Linked DNA regions of Kluyveromyces lactis. The protein of the gene in region 5 interacts with the protein of the main gene of each other region in a biochemical or structural test. Links are inferred from orthologs where the notes say so. Each region holds a gene or a part of one and is shown on either strand. Other genes may lie near its edges.

The links.
Region 1: the proteins of CDC28 (region 5) and GRR1 form a complex in vitro, tested with the Saccharomyces cerevisiae proteins (2 studies listed by BioGRID, with this or other methods). The link is inferred for Kluyveromyces lactis from reciprocal best matches to the Saccharomyces cerevisiae genes CDC28 and GRR1.
Region 2: of the proteins of CDC28 (region 5) and SLD2, one has a biochemical effect on the other in vitro, tested with the Saccharomyces cerevisiae proteins (4 studies listed by BioGRID). The link is inferred for Kluyveromyces lactis from reciprocal best matches to the Saccharomyces cerevisiae genes CDC28 and SLD2.
Region 3: the proteins of CDC28 (region 5) and KLLA0_D15543g form a complex in vitro, tested with the Saccharomyces cerevisiae proteins (10 studies listed by BioGRID, with this or other methods). The link is inferred for Kluyveromyces lactis from reciprocal best matches to the Saccharomyces cerevisiae genes CDC28 and CLB2.
Region 4: the proteins of CDC28 (region 5) and KLLA0_D15565g form a complex in vitro, tested with the Saccharomyces cerevisiae proteins (7 studies listed by BioGRID). The link is inferred for Kluyveromyces lactis from reciprocal best matches to the Saccharomyces cerevisiae genes CDC28 and CLB5.
Region 6: of the proteins of CDC28 (region 5) and CAK1, one has a biochemical effect on the other in vitro, tested with the Saccharomyces cerevisiae proteins (4 studies listed by BioGRID, with this or other methods). The link is inferred for Kluyveromyces lactis from reciprocal best matches to the Saccharomyces cerevisiae genes CDC28 and CAK1.
Region 7: of the proteins of CDC28 (region 5) and ORC1, one has a biochemical effect on the other in vitro, tested with the Saccharomyces cerevisiae proteins (2 studies listed by BioGRID). The link is inferred for Kluyveromyces lactis from reciprocal best matches to the Saccharomyces cerevisiae genes CDC28 and ORC1.

The regions. Positions count from the first base shown.
Region 1 is NC_006041.1:544,719-548,678, reverse strand, and holds the start of GRR1 (SCF ubiquitin ligase complex subunit GRR1), read right to left. Parts: upstream 2,801-3,960; coding exon 1-2,800. Other genes in the region: JSN1 (Jsn1p), read right to left, coding at 3,403-3,960. UniProt on the Saccharomyces cerevisiae protein: Substrate recognition component of a SCF (SKP1-CUL1-F-box protein) E3 ubiquitin-protein ligase complex which mediates the ubiquitination and subsequent proteasomal degradation of target proteins.
Region 2 is NC_006042.1:1,277,744-1,280,583, reverse strand, and holds SLD2 (Sld2p), read left to right. Parts: upstream 1-1,137; coding exon 1,138-2,340; downstream 2,341-2,840. Other genes in the region: CTF13 (Ctf13p), read right to left, coding at 1-1,067; snoRNA-binding rRNA-processing protein UTP15, read right to left, coding at 2,490-2,840. UniProt on the Saccharomyces cerevisiae protein: Has a role in the initiation of DNA replication. Required at S-phase checkpoint. Also required for the proper activation of RAD53 in response to DNA damage and replication blocks.
Region 3 is NC_006040.1:1,312,509-1,315,879, forward strand, and holds KLLA0_D15543g (cyclin family protein), read left to right. Parts: upstream 1-1,251; coding exon 1,252-2,871; downstream 2,872-3,371. UniProt on the Saccharomyces cerevisiae protein: Essential for the control of the cell cycle at the G2/M (mitosis) transition. Interacts with the CDC2 protein kinase to form MPF. G2/M cyclins accumulate steadily during G2 and are abruptly destroyed at mitosis.
Region 4 is NC_006040.1:1,315,625-1,318,634, reverse strand, and holds KLLA0_D15565g (uncharacterized protein), read left to right. Parts: upstream 1-1,283; coding exon 1,284-2,510; downstream 2,511-3,010. Other genes in the region: KLLA0_D15576g (uncharacterized protein), read right to left, coding at 1-248. UniProt on the Saccharomyces cerevisiae protein: Required for efficient progression through S phase and possibly for the normal progression through meiosis. Interacts with CDC28.
Region 5 is NC_006038.1:854,827-857,567, reverse strand, and holds CDC28 (cyclin-dependent serine/threonine-protein kinase CDC28), read left to right. Parts: upstream 1-1,353; coding exon 1,354-2,241; downstream 2,242-2,741. Other genes in the region: IFA38 (ketoreductase), read left to right, coding at 1-769. UniProt on the Saccharomyces cerevisiae protein: Cyclin-dependent kinase that acts as a master regulator of the mitotic and meiotic cell cycles. Required to drive the G1-S transition. More than 200 substrates have been identified. Substrate specificity is in part regulated by the bound cyclin protein.
Region 6 is NC_006042.1:823,808-826,682, forward strand, and holds CAK1 (cyclin-dependent protein kinase-activating kinase CAK1), read left to right. Parts: upstream 1-1,409; coding exon 1,410-2,375; downstream 2,376-2,875. Other genes in the region: ERG3 (C-5 sterol desaturase), read left to right, coding at 1-849; putative mannosidase MNL2, read left to right, coding at 2,767-2,875.
Region 7 is NC_006038.1:453,401-457,516, forward strand, and holds ORC1 (origin recognition complex subunit 1), read left to right. Parts: upstream 1-1,316; coding exon 1,317-3,977; downstream 3,978-4,116. Other genes in the region: ECM7 (Ecm7p), read right to left, coding at 1-844. UniProt on the Saccharomyces cerevisiae protein: Component of the origin recognition complex (ORC) that binds origins of replication. It has a role in both chromosomal replication and mating type transcriptional silencing. Binds to the ARS consensus sequence (ACS) of origins of replication.

The DNA.
Region 1 (3,960 bases), on a different chromosome or scaffold from region 5:
CGTCAGATTTGGTGCTAGGTCCATCGGTAGGTTCATGAATACCCATTAAATGATGACGCAACTTATGAACGCCCTTTCCGGAAAATACACAGAATATCTGCCTTTGATTAGCGGTAAATTCACTGGGGGGAGAACGACAAAACTGCGTGATATCGGGACGAAGAAAAGATGGAACTGCAGTTAGCGATAAGTGCGATAACTTGGGGCATGCCATCAACAATTCATATATAGGATAGATCGTTAGACTGGTACAGTAAGATAGATGGACTCTCTCTAACGTGTCATTCCTTCCGCGAATGCTTATCATTGTTAAAAGTCCCTCATCTGTAATCTGAGAGCACTTAACCATACCTATTCTTTTAAGTTTGGGCAACTCAGCGAGTTCGTAAAGGGTTTTGTTTGTCAAATTGGTGCAACAAGCAAAATCGATATATTGAATCTTGGGGCAATTGCTTACTAAAACCCTGACACCTTCATCTGAAATATTGAAACAGTGACCAAAATGCATTGTCTGTATATTTTTTCCCAATCTTGCCAACGACTTTAGAGCGGAATCTGTGATACGGCTGCATTTCCCCAAAAATAAGTTTCTTAGCTTGGGTGCTAAAGTAACAAGTTTATCAATTGTCTTGTCCGTGATGTTTTCGCAACCAGAGAAGTCGACTAGTCTTAATGCAGGTAATCCCATGGTTTCCTGAGAAACCGCCAACATAAACTCATCGGTGATGTTCGTGTTATGCGTGACTCTGATTTCTCTTAATTGAGGTAAAGAGGTGAATAGCGTAACCAAGCCATGATTATCAATATTCGGTGTTGACGTTAAATCCACCTCTACGAGAAATGGACAACATTTGACCATTTTCATCACCAAATCATTTTCAATAGATTGATTAAAAGTTATTTTGACACGTTTTAACATCGGCGCGTGAGTGATAAAATTCGAGATAGCATTAGGTGAGACATCGTTTGAATGAGGAACATAAAGTCCCTGAATCCTCTCACAATCCGATGCTAATACTTCAAACAAATCATCTCTAATGTGATGAATACCAGTTATGTCGACACTTTGTAAATATTGACAACCCTTTAAAACTTTTGCCACAGATTTGGTTGTAATATATTTACAGAAAACCAAAGTAAGTCTTTCAAGGTTAGGACACCCAATGAAATGTTCTAGTTTTCTATCTGTCATATAGTCACCAACGAATGAAAAATTTAAACGTTTTATCAAGCTCCTGTAATCAAATAGCGTCTCTTCCTTAGGCTTGCTCATGGTAATCAAAAAAGAATTCAATTGCTGCTGTTTATTGATATGGGGACGATAATATATGAGTTTTGCAATGACTTCAGCCCAAGCCTTAGAAACAGCCATTAAGGGAACAATATTGGCTTTTTGACTTTTTGCTTCTAAAACCATTGCTAGGATTTCATGAGGAAGATCAGATAACGGGAAAGTGTTCTTTGGTGTTTTGATTCTGGTATATAATGCATTATCTTTAGAAACCATTGAGAGCATCTGGGGCAACTGGCTTCTCACGTGATTAGACATAAACTTCCATTCCTCTTCTGAGACATGCATATCATATAAAGCCAAGTCCAATCCTCTTTTTGTCCAAGGAGAGTATTTCAAAAACAAATCGCGATAGTAATAAATAGGATTTGGTACGTTAGGGTTGGTATTCTTTCTTTTATAGTAGTCATGTATCGATCTCGCCATCCTTTTGATAATTTCCGAATATTTTTCTTGATAGGAATGTAGAGAATAGAGTTCCATTTCGATTGCCCTTAAAATAACTCTTTGCTGTTTCATAATTGTTGATTTTAGATGTTCAACAACTTCCGTCGACAAATTACTCTCCGCTAAAAATGCTGAATAGTTTAGGTCACGAAGTCGCTGGATTCCTAGCTGCAAAGACTCCTTAAGATAGTTTTTTCTTAATTCTATAATACCTAATGCAAATTTAAATCTGTATCTTGAAAGTTCGACAATTTCACTTAATGCTGTAGTGTCTTCTGGTGTAAGTTGGACTTGCTTCAGTAAGAAATCCAACAACGCTTCCTTTTCGGTCCAGTTAGAGCTGTCATCTAATGCTTCTTTTTGCATTTTGAGAACAAAATTCTCAATATTTTGTCTTGCCCTCATATCGATTTTGTGTTTATCAAAATATTCTTGTAATTGTTCAGAATCACCTTCGATCGGTGGTAATTTCCATCCTTCTTTTTCTATGTTTTCAAACAACTGTCTTAAATCATCTTCAATTTGTGCAATGCCACTAAGGGCGGATTTCCGCTCTCTAGCCAAAAATGGTCTTTGGTGTAAAGACAGTTTACTAGGATTCATGGTAGTAAACCAGTCAGCAGGCAGACCAGAAGATACATGAGCACTTTCCCTCGATAAGTTAGCTTCACGAGCAGCTCCCCGCGTCAATTCTTCGAAATGGTCAGCGGTATTATTATCTATATCAGTACTTCTTCTGTTATCTTCGTCAGTTCCTGTAGTATTCAGTATTTCACCGTCGATATTGTTATTACTATTATTATCGTTAGTTCCGTTATTGATCAGTTGATTTGATCTGAAAATATCAGAAAGGGTATCGTTTCCAAGAATGCTAAGATTCCTATTATTAAGAGCCTCCCAATTAAGCTCATTCTCATCCGTCAGCTCATCCACTCTTAACGGAATTGCATCCCTGCTGCCTGTCTGGCCCCTCCTGGCTTGTGCTCTTAAATTCCAAGCAGCGCCAGGACTGACCTGAAACTGCCATTCAGAATTATCGGATGCCGGTTGCTGTGGGTCCATTGTAGCGTAGCAATTTTAAGTATCACTCAAAATAGTACAAATACTTCCTTTTGAGTTTCATCTACTATTGGCTCCACTTAATTGGACCTGTATTTTATCACATAAAACGTTTAATCAGCAAGGAGAGAGCGGTTACCTTTTTTTGTGACATAGAAATTACGCAAAATATACTAAGAAGTATCACAGAAGACGAATACTGTCAAACTAGAGGAAGCTGAGAAGAATAAACTTTGAAGATCGAGGTATATATAATATATTTATGTACATTTAAAAGATGAAAAGGAGAAGTTATATCTATATTATGAGACGAAAGTGTATGAAGTCATCGATCGAGACAGCAGTTTGTGCTGCAAGCTTGTTTTAATAGGTTTTAGGTCGTAAAAATCATCATCCTGGAATAACATAAGTAGGATCAGGAGTCGTTTGCAATAATTGTGTAAGTTTTTGATCATGAAACAGAAGGTGAGAAATAGATGAGAGGGAAGCGAGGGGAGGTTCTTATTATACAGGGATGTTCCCCACAGGATACTTTAGCGTCTTACGTGCCACATTTTCTTTTTTTTTTTAATATTATTAGTATGTAACAATAGCTCGTGAACAAATCAGTGGTTGAACATTCCATCACCAAACTGTCCATTATGATGTCTATTCTGAGAATGGGGGAGTGGTTGACCATTCATTGTTAGTTGCGGCAAGGATATTTGCGTGCCATTATTGAATGTCAGCATATCAAAATTTGACACTAAATCATCATTCAGACCACTGGTTGACGTGGAATACTGATACGGTTGTGAAGCGGGAAACATGCCAGGGTAGGTGTAGTAGCTTGCTTGCCCAGAGATGCCAGAAATGGACGCTTGCTGAGGTTGATGCTGAGGTTGAGATTGGGATTGTTGAGGTAACTGAGCTTGGACCTGAGAAGATTGGATGGGTTGCTGTTGAGATTGTGCGTTCGAGGAGGCTCTTGGTCTAGAAGATGCCGACCTGACACTGTTGACGGAAACAGTCCTCATATGTTGAGGATGGTCATTACCAAAAACATGGGAAATACTCATTCTTGGCTTGGTTTGAGCGGTAGATGGTTGATTGTTTATTGCATTCAAGCCCACTTCTTCCAAGAGTCTGCGATGCTGTGTGATATTAGATTCTGTGGTCAAAAT
Region 2 (2,840 bases), on a different chromosome or scaffold from region 5:
GCGTTGTGCAGTTCTATGAAATTCAGAGGTTGGTATGTTTGTACCACTTCTAAATAAAGGTTATACCATTCTGATTCCTCTTCTTCTTCTTTCTTCGTGGGTTTTTTCACCTGACCATTTATAATCCATTGAGGCCTGATTCGTTTCAACAGATGAGACAGGTCCCACCATATGATATACTTCACTTCTTTTAATATCAACATCTTGCAATGTTGTGGTAAAATAAGGTTATTGAGGTCTATGAATTCGCAACCTGATAAGGAAAGACATTGAAGTTGTTCCCATTTTTGTAAATCAACAACAGATTTGTACCCCAAATCCCTCAACGTATACAGCTCTAATTCGAATATATTTTGTCGGACATTGTATACTATTGTCTTACCAGGGTTCTCTCGAACTCCTTGAGTATTAATCAGGTTATTAAACATGTTCTTCGATTCAATGCGAAGCATGTGCAAGTTATTGAACGACTCCATGCATGGAATGATAGAAACGACGTTCTCATGATCTAAATCCCAGCAATTGATGAAACTAATATATGAAACTGTATCAAATAGCCAGCGGTGTTGTATCTCTTTGCATAATTCATTGACATCATTGATATCACTGACGTTAATTCCTAACCTCAAATCTTGTTGTGCAATACTCAAAAGATGGCAATACTCGTTAATGGTATAACTCACCTGTAGAAACTGCTCATCTGTAGTGAATATTCCTATTTCAAGCTCACCTGACACTACGATCCATTGGACACTAAACCATTGTTCCTCATATTGTAAACAAACCCGCAGTCGATCAGTAAGTATTATGTCATGTCGAAGCAAATCGAAGTCTCGGCACCAATTGGGAATGAAATTTGGTATATAGTCATATACACCAATATGTTTAGAGTACTTATCCACCAGAGATTGATTGAACTCCCTTATATTAGGATAGGCAATAAGCTCATCGTTAAAGATATCTGATTTAGCAGGTGGTCTTACATTTTGCACAACGTCGCCCAAAAAGAAGTAAACAGTATACCGTATATCGATTGGTAAACTGAGGAACAGCTTGGTATCAAACATTCCATCTCATGTGCCCTGATTGACCTGTGATCGTGAATCTTTTGCAGCTCATTTCTCTTTATTCTTCTTCATGGGAAACTTCAATAATTTACGCGTTTTAATTTCGTTCTTTGCCTTTATTCTAACGACCTTTATGAATGGAATAAAAGAGACAGATACAGTAAATGCACCGTTGTTACTCGTGATATCAAGCGCTAGTATGGATGCTCTTAAGATTGAGATCAAGCTGTGGGAGCGTGCTTTCGAGAAAGAGCATGGAAGGCTTCCTGAGAAAGATGATATAAAAAAGGATAAAGAGGTCAAGAGAAAGTATAAACAGTATGCACAGCTCAAGAAGGATGCTACTGTTAAACCATCGGTGGAGGTTAACGTAGAGCAAACACCAGTGAAGTCGCATGTGAATAACACAAAGGCTGAATTCGGACCGACTCCTCAAATGAATGGGAAATTAGTTAGTATATTTGAGATGCAAGTGTCTGCCATGAAAACTCACCAGTCGGATCAAGAAGATATAGTTGGCTCGCCAGTAAGATCAAATGACCTGGTAAGGCGCCAATTGAACTTCTCAATAACGCCGAACTCTTCTCCAATGAAGCAAGTTCCAAATCTATCTGCGAATATTGTTGTGTCAAGACCGAAATATGGACCAAACTCCCCAATGCGGATCGGCGATATTGGATTGCAGTTGTCAGAAACACCAAAGACGCTTGGTAGAACCCTGGATTTGAAAAGTTCTCCCTTCAGCCCATCGCCGCTGATTAAAAGGCCGGTGAAGACACTGTCCCAATTAGCGAAGGAACATGCCATTATAAAAGACGAATTCGAATCTAACCCAGAAGATTTCAGCGAATTCACTGCGATTAGAACGCTTATGGAAAAGCTGATGCAGGAAGAACATATGGATATAATTGAAGAGGGGGACGAGGGAACTGTCGGCAATGAAACTGAGAGCAATTATGTGCGGAAAGTTAAAACCATAAAGAAAAGAACAAAAGCGAAGATGAGACCAGCAGCATTAAACGAGAAGTCGACCAACATTCCAGACAAAAATGTTCATGAACAGCTAGCAAAGTTGAAGGAACGTGAGTACAATAAAATGCTGGGTAAAGAAGTGGAAGAAAGTGAGTCTGACTCTGAACAACAATCCAATCCACCCGTAAAGAAGAAGCAACGTAAGAGTAAATACAACCTTGTTAGCAACAACTTCAAGCGTTTGAATCTTCCAACAAAGGCAGGAAGAAACAGAGCCAGTAAATGGAGAGGAAGAAGGTGATTTCTTCAAAGTCAGAACGTTAAAAACAAAGAAACAGACGTAACGAACGGGATGATACAGTTGTTGCAGTCTATGTACTATAAATGTAAATAAATATAATCTTTTACACGCATTCCTTTTTGTTATAGATCAGTGTAGAAAGGATTTTATCAGTTTGTTAACAATTGGAGCATACCCTCTATCTTTTGTGCTTCTTTTGCTTTGCGGATCTCTTCCCTTACTCTTTTCTTTAGAGTGATTACCATCTCTTCAAGTACTGGGGACTTCTCCAGTACACTACCGTAGAGTTCAATTACAACCGCAATCCAGTCTGCAACAATTGGTGCACTTCTAACATCTTCTATTCCCTTCAAGCACCAGTTGAGTAGTGGTTCTAGAGAACTTTCGTCTCTACCGTATAATGCAACCTTGATTTTACCTCTTTTCCTTAGTTCTTGTAATACCGTTAAAGTTAATTCTTTAGCCATACCGGGGATAAATGCAGAATCTAATGCGTCAGA
Region 3 (3,371 bases), on a different chromosome or scaffold from region 5:
ACACAAACAGCATTTTGCAGCTGGAATTCACCAACGATCGCGCGTATGAATAGTCTTAACTTCGCTAGGGAGAAAAACAGCCAGTGCCAGGAATAGGGCCAGAGCCAGGTCCTGTGTTTGCACTCATGCTACGGCCTGATTTCTTTATTGATCGAACACTTCCTAATAAGGAAAAAGGTAAACAACTATGCATATTTACGTTTTAGGAAAAATGTAAATAAACCGATGGACTTTTCACAAAAGCTCATCGCTTTGTAATTTGGTGCTACCTTTCTGACAAAGAAGCATCAACTGACTATATGAGCAACTGAGCGGATTGGGGGGATAGGGCATCACTGCGCATACTCCATTGCAGTATTCCTTTGGGTACTCCATGCTTGTGGTTACATTTTTCTTTTGGTTATTATTACAGAATGACGACAACGTTCGGTGACTGAGGGAATCCTCATTAGATTCTGTGAAGGGGAGGGGCGTCTGCTATGAAGCCATAAATCAACGTAGAGGTTCTTTGTAGACATTTAAAATTTCTTTTGTGCTACTTCTCCCGACAGTTGAAGCATCTGTAGTGAGGTATTCTTCTTTATCTTAGAAGTAAGAAGTTTTTGCTGCGTCTGTCTCAGTGACGATAGAGAAAAAGTAGGCTTTAAGCGAACGATCACAAAAGCTTCTCACGGTTCTTAAAGCTTTTTCGGTGAATCTTTCCATACAACTGGTGAAGAATTTGTATTGTTCCGATTGGAGTGAGCCTGTTTTTTCTTTTTGAACTTTTCTGGTTTGTTGTCCCTTGCTGTTTCTTTATTATTGTTTTGTTACTTCCTCAATAGGTTAGTTTCCAAATCGAATCTGAATCTGATCCAAGCTTTTCAGATTCATTATTTCAATAAAGAGGTTTTAGCTTTGAACAATCCCAGTCCATAGTTGACAATAGTCGATAGGAAACATACTACCAAGAGTATCGCCAGCGGTGAAGACATTGCTATCGGTAGAGACAGTGATAGCAGAAAGCAAGTTGATCAAGAGATCCTACGTCTTGCTCCTAAAAAGAATCGCAGAGTTTTTTTATACTGGAATCAAGATCTGTTGGTATAACTCTTAATTATTGATCTCCTGCAGAACTCATTGGGAAATTGGTAATAGAATAGTTGACTGAGTTGATTGCTAAAGCAGGTACTAAAGAAAGTGCAATTGTCTTTCTTTCCGATCTCTTCTTTTTAACAGAAACTAAATTAAAGACAATTCTGTCAAAGCATTATGTCAAAGGATAAATATGATAGAAGCTTGAAAAACTTGAACATGCTAAGAAGACCAGTGTTAAACAATGTTACTAATACTACTGAATCTACGTTCGGTAAAGTTTTGAGGCAGGCTAAATCAAGACTGCAGAATAGCAGGACGAATAATCTTCCCCAGGGTACCGCAAACTCGTATTCGAACACAAAACCGGCACCATTGAGAGATGACATAATGGTACCTGAGGATAAGGAGAATTACAATCCGCTAGCTAAGATTGATGAAAGAGAGGAGCTGGATTCTAATCTAGTTCATAATCACAAATCCCTGGGTACACAAAAGCATGTTACGATCGATGAAAGACAAGAAATAATTGGATATTCACATCTGGATACTGAAAAGTCTGCTCCATCATCATCAACATACAGCAGTGAGCATACGGAAAATGACGGCGTTCACGACGTCAACCCAAATGTTCAGCGTTCAGATAATGAAGCTGATTTCAAGATGCAAACCACAAACGCTTTTCACGAAAACGTCAACGATGGCAGTGACGCAACAGATGATGCCAGTAGTGGAAGTAAGAGTAGCAATGAATGCCCTGCTGTTAACGTCGGAAACAGCCTTGCGCCTATGCCAATTGACGAAAATGCTAACAATAGCGCTAGCAGTGTCGAATTGAGAGCAAAGCAACTTCAGGTTGAGGATTCGAAAAAGAGACCAATAAGCACTGTCGTTGAACAAACGTTACCTAAGAAATTTAAAGTATGTGAAAAGGGTAAAGAATATGAATGGGAAGATCTTGATGAAGAAGATATCAATGATCCCTTCATGGTAAGCGAATATGTTACAGATATCTTTGAATATTTGCACAGATTGGAAATGATGACTTTGCCTAACAGACACGAACTATTCAAACATGCCAACATTCAGCAAAATAGGGATATTTTAGTTAACTGGATGGTAAAGATTCATAACAAGTTTGGCCTACTGCCGGAAACCTTATATTTGGCGTTGAATATCATGGATAGATTCCTTTGCAAAGAGTTAGTACAGCTGGAAAAACTACAATTAGTAGGAACAGCGTGCTTATTCATCGCTTCGAAATATGAAGAAGTGTATAGCCCCAGTGTGAAACACTTCGCTTACGAAACGGATGGTGCATGCGATGAAGAAGAAATCAAAGAAGGAGAGAAATTTATTCTAAAAACGTTAGAGTTCAATCTCAATTATCCAAATCCCATGAATTTCCTAAGAAGGATATCTAAGGCAGATGACTATGATATACAATCCAGAACATTGGCGAAATATTTGCTTGAGATATCCATAGTTGACTTCAAATTCATTGGGATTCTACCCTCATTGTGCGCCGCAGCATCTATGTTCTTATCGAGAAAGATGTTAGGAAAGGGCCAATGGGATGGAAATCTAATACACTATAGTGGAGGATATACCAAAGACGAACTAGCTCCCGTGTGTAATATGGTTATGGAATATTTGGTCCAGCCTGTTGTACATGATGAATTGTTTAAGAAATACGCTTCGAGAAGATTTATGAAAGCATCGGTAATTTCTAGACAATGGGCAAAGAAAGTCATGTCCCACAACTATGATATAATGACACTACATGATTCAGAATAAATCACGAGATTCGATCATTTAAAGAAACCATGATCCTTCCGGCCTTAATTACTGAGTATGATTGGCCATTGTAGTGCCAATATGAAATGTTATCGAGGGACTTTTTCCTATAAGAAGAAATTCGAATCACGGGGTCAGAGATATGGAATCAATCTGATCCAATACTCAATTAGTTTCTGGGAAGTGGAATAGTACATGTTGCGCGTTAAAGGGAGGCATTCTAAAAGCATACTAAACCCAAAAAAAAAAAAAAACGATAACTATACTAATACTAATCATAATAGAAAACAAACATTGTAATAATTAATCTAGCCAACCCACATGTGTCAATGTGTTTTCCATTCAACAGATAAAATGAGGATTTAGACCTTAGTGAACCCTTTACTTCAATTCACTTTTAATATTTCACCTGCTCAAAAACTCAGAAAGAGTTCTCTCAGGATCATCAGTATCAGCATTATGTTGCAATCATAGGTATACCCACCCCTTACCCTTTAAAG
Region 4 (3,010 bases), on a different chromosome or scaffold from region 5:
ATAGTATCGTCAATGGCCTTGTTTTCAGCCAAACCATTATTGGATTTCCCAGGTTGAATATTGTACTTGGCAGACATCACCGGGGACAAATCGTGTTTCCCGGAAGAAACTGCAACAAGAGCACCGTCTGCATCGACCATATGAGGCAAATCCTCGACCTTAGGAGCCTCATCGTATTTCTCACCTTCAACTGGACTCCCAGAAACGTATCTCTTAAATTTTTCCCACTTAGACTTGAACCCTTCCATATTCCTTGCGCTGCTTTTTATCTAGTTAATAGATAGTGTTCTTCCTAATAATCAGATGAATACAAAAGAAAATGATGTTATATCTTGGACAAAACCCCCCAAAAATCGGTTGTAACCTTACTTATATACCTACGGTAGGTTTCTCGTACTATATAATCTAACTATGGAACGGTGTACCTTTTGTCTCTTCGAGCCCTTTAATCTGATAAATCTCAATGGAGCCGTATGGCGATATCAGATTTTCATTATCTGTTCGTTCTAAGAAAGACCGACCGATAAGATAGAGGAATAGTAGCGAAAGACTGATAGAACTCGGCGAACGTCTGCCTTTTTTCCTTGGCTGTACTGGGCTGACTTTGTAAGCCGGTACGATATATGCCAGGCAAATCGCTCGAAGGAAGAGGAGTCAGCGATAATCGCTGTATGTCGCATACTAATGAGTCTCTCTCTCTCTCTCATCAGAAATAGAAAACGGGACTTTTTTCCCGTCTAAATCACGTGAAAATAAATTGACAGTTTCCATTTTGTCCGGAATACTTTGGTCACGTGATTGAGATCCGGACAACGCGAAGACGCGAAACAATTTTTTTTCAAATTTCGTTTTTGGCGTGCTGACGCGTCAGCACTTTGCGAAGATGCGAATCTACAAAGCGAAATTGGAAAGTCCTTGAACCAAGACAGGCCTGTTAGAGCTTCCAAAGGAACTTCACGAATTTTATGACCTGCTGTTAGTCTATGAAAGCGTGTATAACAGATTTTGTTTGTTTCCACTGGATATGCACGGTCGATTACTCGGTGTTTTTCTGTATATTGTATCTTTCTCGTTGTTTTAGGGCCAAGAAAGAACAATAAGAGAAAGAGACGCGATTTGTGTGTTGTCTGTCAGGTCCAAGATTTTGGTGACATTGGCTGGCTGGGTTACCGCTAACAGGTTAAGTTCTTCTCTATCCTGTTGAAACTGTTTTCATATATATATATACAGCATATATGTTTACCACATACTAGGAGACAGAACGATAGAGTATAGATTTTAAGATGAGACCGAGAACCAGGAGCAGCTGGAGTGTTAGTGACGCAGAAGCAATGGAGAAGTCTTCACACCAAAGGAAACGTGTCGCGCTATCGGAGCAGCCACTCCACGATAATAAACTGAAATCTTCAGTCGGGTCATTGAGGAATTCACAAGTCGATGAAGGTAAAAATAAGATATATGGGAACTCTTCACAGACAACGAGTTCAGTGTCGTTGAAAAGACAGATATACCGTGATGATGATGATGAGGAACAAAAATCAGATGTGCGTTCAGATGATGATATTCTAGAGCCCAGGAAAAGTCATAAGAGACTGAAATGCGAGAGCTTAGAAAGACGTAGAGAAGAATTGGACTCCCAGGATAAAGAAGATGTAACGATGTGTTATGATTATTCGGATGATATTTTTGACCATCTTTACACGAGACAGTTTGAAACTACGCCAAAGATCAATTATTTGAAGGATAAAAATTACGAATTTTACTTGAGACCGACGATGAGATCGATCCTCGTTGATTGGATTATAGAGGTTCATTGTAAGTTTCAACTGTTACCGGAAACGTTGTACCTTTCGATAAACCTCATGGATAGATATCTTTCTTTTAACAAAGTTACATTACCAAAGTTACAATTAATTGCAATCACGTCTTTATTGATTGCCGCCAAGTTTGAGGAGGTGAATCTTCCTAAGCTATCAAATTACTCATATATCACAGATAATGCTTACAGCAACGATGAAATCAAACAGGCCGAGTTTGTCATTCTGAATAAACTGGAATACAACATCGGATGGCCTAACCCATTAAATTTTCTACGAAGAATATCCAGATGTGATGAGTACGATTCAATCACTAGAACTTTGGGCAAGTGTTTAATTGGATATATGATTTCGTGCCCACACTTCATCGACGTAGTGCCTTCTAAGATTGCGTCCGTGGCAATGTTCACTGCACAAAGAATCGTGCATGAAGACTTCCAATGGGACGAATTATGGGATTATTATTCATGCTTTTCATTCAAAGATAATGAGATAGAGTTAAAAGAGTTATCACAAATTCTGATAAACGATATTGCTAAGCCAACAACACAACTTAATGCATTAATTCACAAATACAAAAAAATTGGCACATGGAACAAAATCCATGATTGGTGTTTGAAGCACTGTACTTATGAAGAGCTGAACCCTAGCGACTACGCTTCATCATCACCTGCATCTTCCACTTCACTATGATAATTTTTCACTTCCGAGTTCTTTTGGATCTTAAGCTCATTCACATCCCCGAGCTACTTTTGCGGTCTCGCATTCCCATCATTTCAAGATGTTCTTACTTCATAATCATATCCATTGCATTTTATAAATAATTAATCGAGTAATCAACTAATAATAATAGTTAAAAAATGACTTATTCATTAATTGAAATTAGTTCAGAAACATGCTAAGTGTACATAAGAAGTAAATTATTTGAAGTGGTTATACTTTAAAGGGTAAGGGGTGGGTATACCTATGATTGCAACATAATGCTGATACTGATGATCCTGAGAGAACTCTTTCTGAGTTTTTGAGCAGGTGAAATATTAAAAGTGAATTGAAGTAAAGGGTTCACTAAGGTCTAAATCCTCATTTTATCTGTTGAATGGAAAACACATTGACACATGTGGGTTGGCTAGATTAATTATTACAATGTTTGTTTTCTATTATGATTAGTATTAGTATAGTTATCGTTTTTTTTT
Region 5 (2,741 bases):
CCTAATTTTGATCAGTAGAACTGAATCGAAGCTAGTTGAATTGAAGAAGGAAATCGAGACTGAATGCAAGATTGACGTTAAAATTTTAGCCATTGATGTCAGTTCTGATAGCAAGGAGAACTATACTTTAATTAGAGAAGTTGCGTCGGGTTTACCTGTAACTGTTTTGATCAATAATGTTGGTAAGTCTCATTCGATTCCAGTACCATTTGATCAAACCGAAGAATCTGAATTGAGAGATATAATTACTATCAACAATACTGCGACATTAATGATCACACAAACTTTGTTACCACAATTAAAAGCAAGCGTTAAGACGTTGAAATGTCGTGGTCTAATCTTGACAATGGGTTCCTTTGGTGGTCTGCTACCTACCCCATTCTTAGCTACATACAGTGGTTCCAAGGCATTTTTACAAAGTTGGTCTAACGCCCTAGCTGGTGAATTATCTAGCGATTCTATCGATGTTGAGTTAGTGTTATCTTACTTAGTTACCAGTGCAATGTCTAAGATTAGAAGATCAAGTGCATTGATCCCTTCTCCAAAGGCTTTCGTGAGATCCACATTGAACTCCATTGGCAAACGCTGTGGTGCCCAAGAGCGTTTTGCAACCTCCACGCCGTATTGGTCTCATGCATTATACCATTTCATTATCGAGAACACCGTCGGTGTGTACTCTAAGATTGCTAATTCAATTAATTATTCCTTCCACTTGAGTATCAGAAAGAGAGCTTTGAAAAAGGCTGAAAGACAAGCCAAGAAGCAATAAAAAGAGTTGTCTCCAAAATATTAGTTTGTTTTGATATAAGGAGCAGGTTTAAATAGATTTGTTGTAGTAACGTTTGATTATTGTGCGATATCCTGACAAAGAAACCATAATTATTGGAACCTGTAGAAGTGTATAAATTTTGTAAGTTTCTGTGTTAAATATTCTGTAACATGAAAGTATACTGAAAAAACCGTTCAGCAATGCCCTATACGTTACAAAATCCCTGCGTTCATCTTACAATTCCAAACCTTTCTTTCTTTTCAATTACACGTAAAGCTCATTATTGACCTTCTGACCTTAAAACGAAGAAAATACAAACACAATTTCGAAGATATTAATATAGTATTAAGGCAACGTTAATCTGTTAGAAAGAAGGCACATACCAGGGTAATATTAGAGCCATAAGCACTGAGTGATAGTTGATTATTTGATTTGACGCATATTTATACGCGAGCACAGCAAATTTTACTTGATCTGAATATACTGCTGCAAAAGAGAACAATCTGTACCTACCTAAAACTTGAAAGTAGTAAAGAAACAGAACAGCAAGGTCGCATCATACAAGAAATCCACCCTATACCAGGATGTCCGAATTAACAAACTACAAGAGACTTGAGAAAGTCGGAGAAGGTACTTATGGTGTTGTTTACAAAGCGGTTGATTTGCGTCACCAGAATCGAGTGGTAGCAATGAAAAAGATCAGATTAGAATCTGAAGACGAAGGTGTTCCCAGTACTGCGATACGTGAGATTTCATTATTGAAGGAACTGAAGGATGACAACATTGTCAGATTATATGACATCGTGCACTCGGACGCGCACAAGTTATATCTAGTGTTCGAATTTTTGGATCTTGATTTGAAAAGATACATGGAATCGATCCCCAAGGACCAGCCATTGGGAGGCAACATTATAAAGAAGTTTATGATGCAATTGTGCAAGGGAATTGCTTATTGCCATGCTCATAGGATCATACATCGTGATTTGAAGCCGCAGAATCTATTGATCAACAGAGATGGGAACTTGAAGTTGGGAGATTTCGGCCTTGCACGTGCATTCGGTGTCCCCTTGAGAGCGTACACCCATGAGATCGTCACTTTATGGTATAGGGCACCAGAAGTGTTATTAGGTGGGAAACAGTACAGTACAGGGGTCGATGTATGGTCCATTGGCTGTATATTTGCCGAGATGTGCAACAGGAAACCGTTATTCAGCGGAGACAGTGAAATTGATCAGATCTTCAAGATATTCCGAGTGTTAGGCACACCAAACGAGAGAACATGGCCGGATATTATTTATCTACCGGATTTCAAGACTACATTCCCTAAATGGAACCGTCGTAATTTATCCGAGGTAATTCCATCGCTAGATGCAAACGGTATCGATCTCTTGGACAAATTGATCACCTACGATCCAATCCACCGCATTAGCGCCAAAAGAGCAGTACAACACCCGTACTTCAAGGAGGAGTGAGAGTGTTGGTGACAGGAGGCGCGTATATTCATGTATATGATATATAATAAAAACAATACCAGTCACGTGTATTCACGTGACTTATATTACCCGGAACTCCACATTCCATTTCTTTTTGTCCCATCCAACAGCCCTTCGAGAGATGCTGCAAACATACCACAAAAACAAAAAAAAAACGGGCCTTGATTTCCTTGCCTGTGCCACAGCAATGCGCCCAAAAAGAAAGAACTAAGAGCAAGAAAAACCGAAGCAAATTGAAACCCGCCCCCCTCCCCTAGGCCTGGGGCTCTTCGTTAACGTTACGCCATTGCTAGTTTGGCTGAACGCAAATCTACCTAGTCACCTATCCTCGACATCCCCTCTCTATCGCTAATATGTCTGTCCATTATTCCGACCGAATCCCTGAAGAAATTAAAGACGAGGCCTGGTAAGAGACAGCTCAATTGACGTAATGTCTCTCAACTCAACCCATACCTTCTCTCTCTCTATTCACATCCCCC
Region 6 (2,875 bases), on a different chromosome or scaffold from region 5:
CAATCAATTTTCCCTCGTTATAATTTGTTTAGAGAAACGCTAACGATGTTTGTCTTGATGACAATTTTTGGATGGGCTTTGTACTTCAGTGTCGCTACGATGTCGTACCTTTTCGTTTTTGATAAGGCTGTTTTCAATCATCCCCGTTATTTGAAGAACCAGATGTCGTTGGAAATGAAACAGGCATTCAGTGCCATCCCAGTGATGGTTCTGTTGACTATACCATGGTTCTTGTTCGAATTGAACGGATATTCGAAGCTTTACCTCGATATCGATTATAAATCATGGGCTGGAATTCGTCAACTTGCGTTTGAAGTGATCTCTTTCATCATGTTCACCGATTGTTTGATTTATTTGGTTCATAGATGGTTGCACTGGCCTAGAGTTTACAGGGCTTTGCACAAGCCTCATCACAAATGGTTGGTTACCACTCCATATGCGTCGCATGCGTTCCACCCAGTGGACGGTTACATGCAATCTGTGCCATACCATCTTTACCCAATGATTTTCCCATTGCAAAAAATTTCATATTTGATTCTTTTCACCTTCGTTAACTTCTGGACTGTAATGATCCACGACGGTGAATATCTGGCTAATGACCCTGTCATTAACGGTGCTGCTTGCCACACTGTGCACCATCTATATTTCAACTACAACTACGGACAATTCACTACCCTATGGGATAGATTGGGTGGTTCTTACAGAGAACCAGATCAAGAACTTTTCAACAAATCTTTGAAGAAGAGCAAACAAACTTGGGAAATCCAAGTCGAAAAGATGGAGGCCATCAAACAAGAAGTAGAAGGTGACTGTGATGACAGAGTTTACGTCACAACCAAAGCTTCTTAGGTTAATTGTAAGTCGCTCTTTCTCGATTCAAGACTCTTCACTCCACTTTGCATGCATTTGCACACCATAACGAACTACATTCAAGACTGTAACTACTCGTTTTCTTTTCTGTTATGATTATGACTACTTTTTTTTTCTCCTACTCACAATAAACACATGTCCTTCGTACGATATCTCATTTCCCCTCTCTCGGATACCTGTTACCAATTGAATTTCCATCTCTTCCCTTTTAGTTAATTGATGTCTGTCTTCGTTGGATCAAACTTTCCCCATTTTTATGTATCTATATATACATCTTACTTACTTGTACAATTATAGAACCTTCAACATACGTGTTTTTATTTTAGTAATTATAGTGATTCCTTGCGATACTACAAAATGCTACACCTTTTCCTTGTCTTTTGTCGTCCTTGTCTTTTGTCGTCCTTCCTTCATTTATCACATTAATGACATAAAACGGAAATTATAGATTAGTTCTAATCTCTTCGGACATGAAACTGAACCATTGGGTTTGTCACTGACAAGACTAGGGGTATAGCGTACTAACCTACATTGGCTACATGACAAACAAGACAAATATGACAACTCCAATTAAGATTCAAACAGGTTGCGCTGATTTAGAATTGTTTCCTGACATTGTGGTGAAACGGATAGATCTTGAGTTGCAAAGACCTCCTCATAATGCACATACTGAGTTAGAAATTTTGAAAACACTATCAAATAAGCATGTGATACCCTTGCTCGGTTCTGAAACCTCACCAAGGTATGTTACATTCAAATTCAAACGGTATCAATGCGATTTAAACCAGTTCATGGACCAACATTGGAAGGCGAAATACAATCCGTACTTGTTAGATAATTCTACAAAAACATATTCAAATACCATACCACTCGATCACTCGACAGTGATTATAAGACAAATAATCGAGGGATTAGTTTATATACACGGTAATGGCATTATACATAGGGATGTCAAACCGCAGAATATCATGCTTAACTCGTACAATGAAGTCGTATTAGGGGACTTCGGTATAAGTTACAATAGGAATCTGGATAATGAGGCCAAGACCTGTGATTGTTCCACATCAATTTACAAAGCACCAGAGCTTCTCTTTAGCGTGTCAAATTACAAATTCGAGATAGATATTTGGGCATTAGCTGTGTTGATTTCTCAACTCTGGAACGATAAAACACAATCCAAATCAAAAAGCAGCAAAGTGATAGACATTGATTTCGACGAATGTTCTGACATAAAACTTGTGCTCACTTTATTTGATAAGTTTGGGAAACCCAGTAACGAGGATTGGCCTCAGGTGACTAAAAATGAATCATTCAATGGGATGTTCGGGAATGTTTCAAGCGATAATTTCTTGCATAGGAGACCAATTGACGAACAACTGATTCAAGTGTACAAATGGATGCCTCTCATAACGGACAACCCAAAATTAGCTAAGATGTGGCTACGCATGGTCAAATTCGATGGTAATCTGAGAATATCGGCAGAGCAACTCTTGGTATCTATCTAGTAGTGTTTCTTTGTAGCTCCATAAAATGTTGAACCTGCTTTAATCTTTGTATCTCTTTCTTCTGAACTAACATCTGTCTTTTCATCTCGTTCAATTCGACAGATGGTGTGCTAACTTTCTTCTCGGTATCCATATTTAAAACTTCGGCGGGGTGACAACAATACCGGTTGTCAGAAATTTCATTTGAATCCATTGGCAGTTTCCCTCGATTTATTGTCCTTGAGTGGACTATTGTGACCTTGAGAGATGAGATCAAAATCCGTTTTCAAATTAGAAAAACATACAAGCACGATATTGGATTCACGAAATAGATAAGTTATAAACTACTTCATGTCTATCCCATTAGCTAGACCTACGATCTCACAGGAACATTAACACATAGGAGAGGACTATGTTTCTAAGGTTACTCCTCCATACATGGAGGAAATGCCGATCAATCCTGCTTTTGCTCATTACTGCAAGCGTTTTATTCTACTATACCTTTGAAAATGAGATTGAGC
Region 7 (4,116 bases), about 400 kb from region 5:
TTGATAGTATAGTAAAGTTTATGACTGCTACTAAAGAGCAAATAAACACCAATAGTTTCATTAGTGATATAGAATGCAGGAGGATTTTGGTTTTCATGGTTTGTTCAGGTCTATTCCTGATCATGTAGTACAAGACAATCGATCCCAATATGAAAACTTCCAATACTGCCACGACGTAAAGTAGATTGACCATGTTGACTTTTCTTCTCGACAAAGCAGCCAAAAATTTGTTGTATTTTGCACTTTCTGCATTGTCGTGATCCAAAACACCATCGTTGTAAGTATATCCGTATGCGTAACTTAACACTATTCCCAAACCTAGGTCATCTAATAGCTTTCTATAGTTCAATAAGTATTGCGCTCCTTCCCTGTGACAAGTCATAGCCTTTGTAGAGTTATGTTCCTCCTTCCAAGTACCGTCAGGCTGCCATAATTCTTGAGAAGCATGTTTCATGCTGCACCATCCGTAAACTCCTGTCTTTATATAATCGGGCACGTCGTGGACCTGTGAGTCTACATACCGCGTGAGTAAAAGAATCTCTGCTGTTGTGAGTCCTGCTCCGTTATTAATATCAGACAGTTTTGCACTGACAACAGAACTGCTGAGCTTATCAAATAGTCCCTGCAAAATGTTAACATTTGAAGTGTCCAATCGTCCTAAATATAACGAATTTGGTGATGCGGCAGAAATAGCAGTCAAAACAAGGACAAAAACGATAATTCCCACTGAAGTTATAACTCGCAGCCATAACATCATCTTATCAAATGCGTTGAGGTGTCCTAGGGTCACTTTTAAGTATTTCCATAACGATATATTCCTCGCCAAGACACTTCCAAACCTCATTTCTTTTTATAAAGCTCCTAAAAGCTTCTTATGTATGACTCTATCAACGTGGGAAATTGTTCAATTTTTTTTCCAGCAGGCCAGCTGCCTTTATTCTTCTGTGTTTATCTGCTTCACCTTCGTTAATTGACTGGCAGAATTCATTCTGTTTATCATGTCATCACTCTTGAGATAAATCTCTTGATCTGTTTCTGCCAGGGTTCAAGGTTTAAAATTAGACGTCAGGAATGGGAAAACTATGTATCATTTTACACGTATTTGATGTTTCAAGATCGATCTTAATTCAGTAAACAGAGGAACCGTGTAACAACCAATATGCTATGAGATAAAAGAATGCTACGGAAACAGGTAGCTGTCATTTCAACATACTTGGCCAGCAAGTAACTACTACTAGTTTAGGAAGGAATTACTGCATTTTAACGGTTATCTGATTATTTTTCCTTTTTATTCCGTGGTAGCGAGTTTATTAGGCATGGCGTCAACGTTAGCTGAGTTTGAAGTTCAATGGGAAATACAGAAGACAGACTTGAAGGGGAATCTCATTGCTGAAACTCCTAGGCGAAGAAGAAGAGGAGATGCTACAGAACATGAAGTGATTAATTTGGTACGATACGATGGAGTCAGACTTTATCCTGGTGTTACGATTGTGTGCAAGGTAGAGGGTGCAGACGAGTTATCAGCGTATATGATCCATGAGGTGCGATTGAATACAAGCAATTACGTAGAACTCTGGTGTTTGAACTATTTGAGTTGGTACGAGATCAATGCTGCGGAAAGATATAAACAGCTTGATGGAGAGTTTTATGAGACTAATAAGGAAAAAGGTGACAAATTTTTTGAGGAAACCTTCGCGTCACAATCGATAAAGAACGAATTGTATTTGACAGCTGAGCTTTCAGAGATTTATCTACGGGACTTGCAATTTGTAGCTAATATTAAAAATGAAAAGGAGTATTTAGACTCTGTCAATGAAGGGAAAATGGATTCTAATATGTTTTTATGTCGATCTGCATGCTTGCCTTCAGGAACTAATCTGGCGGATTTAGATATACATTTCTTTGAAGAAAAAATACGTTCCTCGAATCCTAAGGTGTCTCTGGAGTATTTGCGTGATATTACTTTACCCAAGCTTCCAAAACCTTTAAATAAATCCAAGGTCCACGCACGAGAGAAGGTAGTGGCGACGAAATTGCAGTCCGACAACACACCAAGCAAAAAAAGCTTTCAACAAACAGTGAGCAAAACCAACGCTGAAGTCCAACGCATTGCATCTACTATTGTTAACGAAAAGGAAGCTATATCAGATAATGAATCGGATTTATCTGAATATCACGAAAGTAAAGAAGAGTTTGCAAACGCATCCTCTTCGGACAGTGATGAAGAGTTTGAAGATTACCAGTCTGCAGAAGAGCTTGCAATTGTAGAACCTGCCAAGAAAAAGGTGAGATCTATTAAACCAGATATACCCATTTCACCAGTAAAATCACAGACTCCATTGCAGCCATCAGCAGTTCATTCATCTCCTAGAAAGTTCTTTAAGAATAATATAGTGCGCGCTAAAAAGGCATATACTCCATTTTCCAAACGGTATAAGAATCCGAAGGATATTCCTGACTTGAACGATATTTTCCAAAGGCATAATAATGATTTGGATATAGCTGCATTAGAGGAGAGATTCAGAACAGTTTCTGCTAAAGGCAAAATGGAGACTATTTTTTCTAAGGTGAAGAAGCAATTGAACTCAAGGAATAGCAAAGAAGAAATTGTCAAAGCTGCTGATTTCGACAATTATCTTCCGGCAAGAGAAAATGAATTTGCAAGTATATACCTCTCACTTTACAGTGCAATTGAAGCAGGCACTAGCACCAGTATTTACATTGCCGGGACGCCAGGCGTTGGTAAAACTTTGACGGTTCGAGAGGTAGTTAAGGATTTAATGACATCTGCAGACCAAAAAGAACTTCCAAGATTCCAATACATTGAAATCAATGGTTTAAAGATTGTCAAAGCAAGTGATAGTTATGAAGTCTTTTGGCAAAAAATATCTGGAGAAAAGCTTACATCTGGAGCTGCCATGGAATCTCTGGAGTTTTATTTTAACAAAGTTCCAGCTACGAAAAAACGTCCTATCGTTGTGTTATTGGATGAGCTTGATGCATTAGTTAGCAAGAGCCAAGATGTAATGTACAACTTCTTTAACTGGGCTACCTATTCAAATGCGAAACTTATTGTTGTAGCTGTCGCAAACACCTTAGATCTCCCCGAACGCCATCTTGGTAACAAGATTTCGTCCAGAATTGGTTTTACTAGAATTATGTTCACTGGTTACACGCATGAAGAGCTTAGAACAATCATCAATTTGAGACTTAAATATTTGAACGAATCTAGTTTCTATGTCGACCCGGAGACAGGGAGTTCGTACATGATCTCTCCGGATAGTAGTACTATAGAAACTGATGAAGAAGAAAAGCGAAAAGACTTCTCTAACTATAAACGACTAAAACTTAGGATTAATCCTGATGCCATTGAGATTGCATCAAGAAAAATTGCTAGTGTCAGTGGTGATGTGCGGAGAGCTTTAAAGGTGGTCAAAAGAGCGGTAGAATATGCGGAAAATGATTACTTAAAGAGGCTTAGATATGAGCGACTAGTCAATTCCAAAAAAGATACTAGTGGCAATGGTACAGGAAATGAAGAATTACAGAGTGTAGAAATTAAGCATATTACCAAGGCATTAAACGAAAGTTCGACCTCTCCGGAACAACAATTCATATCTGGTCTGTCATTTAGCGGAAAACTTTTCCTATACGCATTAATCAATTTAATTAAGAAGAAGCAAACTGACGTACAACTTGGTGATATCGTAGAAGAAATGAGGCTCCTCATTGATGTCAATGGGAATAACAAATACATTTTAGAGTTGAAACGGATTTTATTCCAAAATGATTCTGTTGATACAAAGGAACAGTTAAGGGCCGTGTCTTGGGACTATATTTTATTGCAATTATTGGATGCAGGTGTTGTAGTAAGGCAATATTTGAAGAATGAGAGGCTCTCGACGATCAAATTAAATATTTCCATGGAAGATGCGGAGCAATGCTTGCATGAAGATGAAATGTTGAAGACATTTTAGTATATGCCTTCAAGACGCCTTTGCTGCTATTATAATTGCTACTTAGGTTGTCATGTAGCGTAGCGGTTAAGTAGAATATGAAACTGCTTTTTCAACTATTTAATTATAAGATAGAAAGATATAATAAAGGATGCATTTT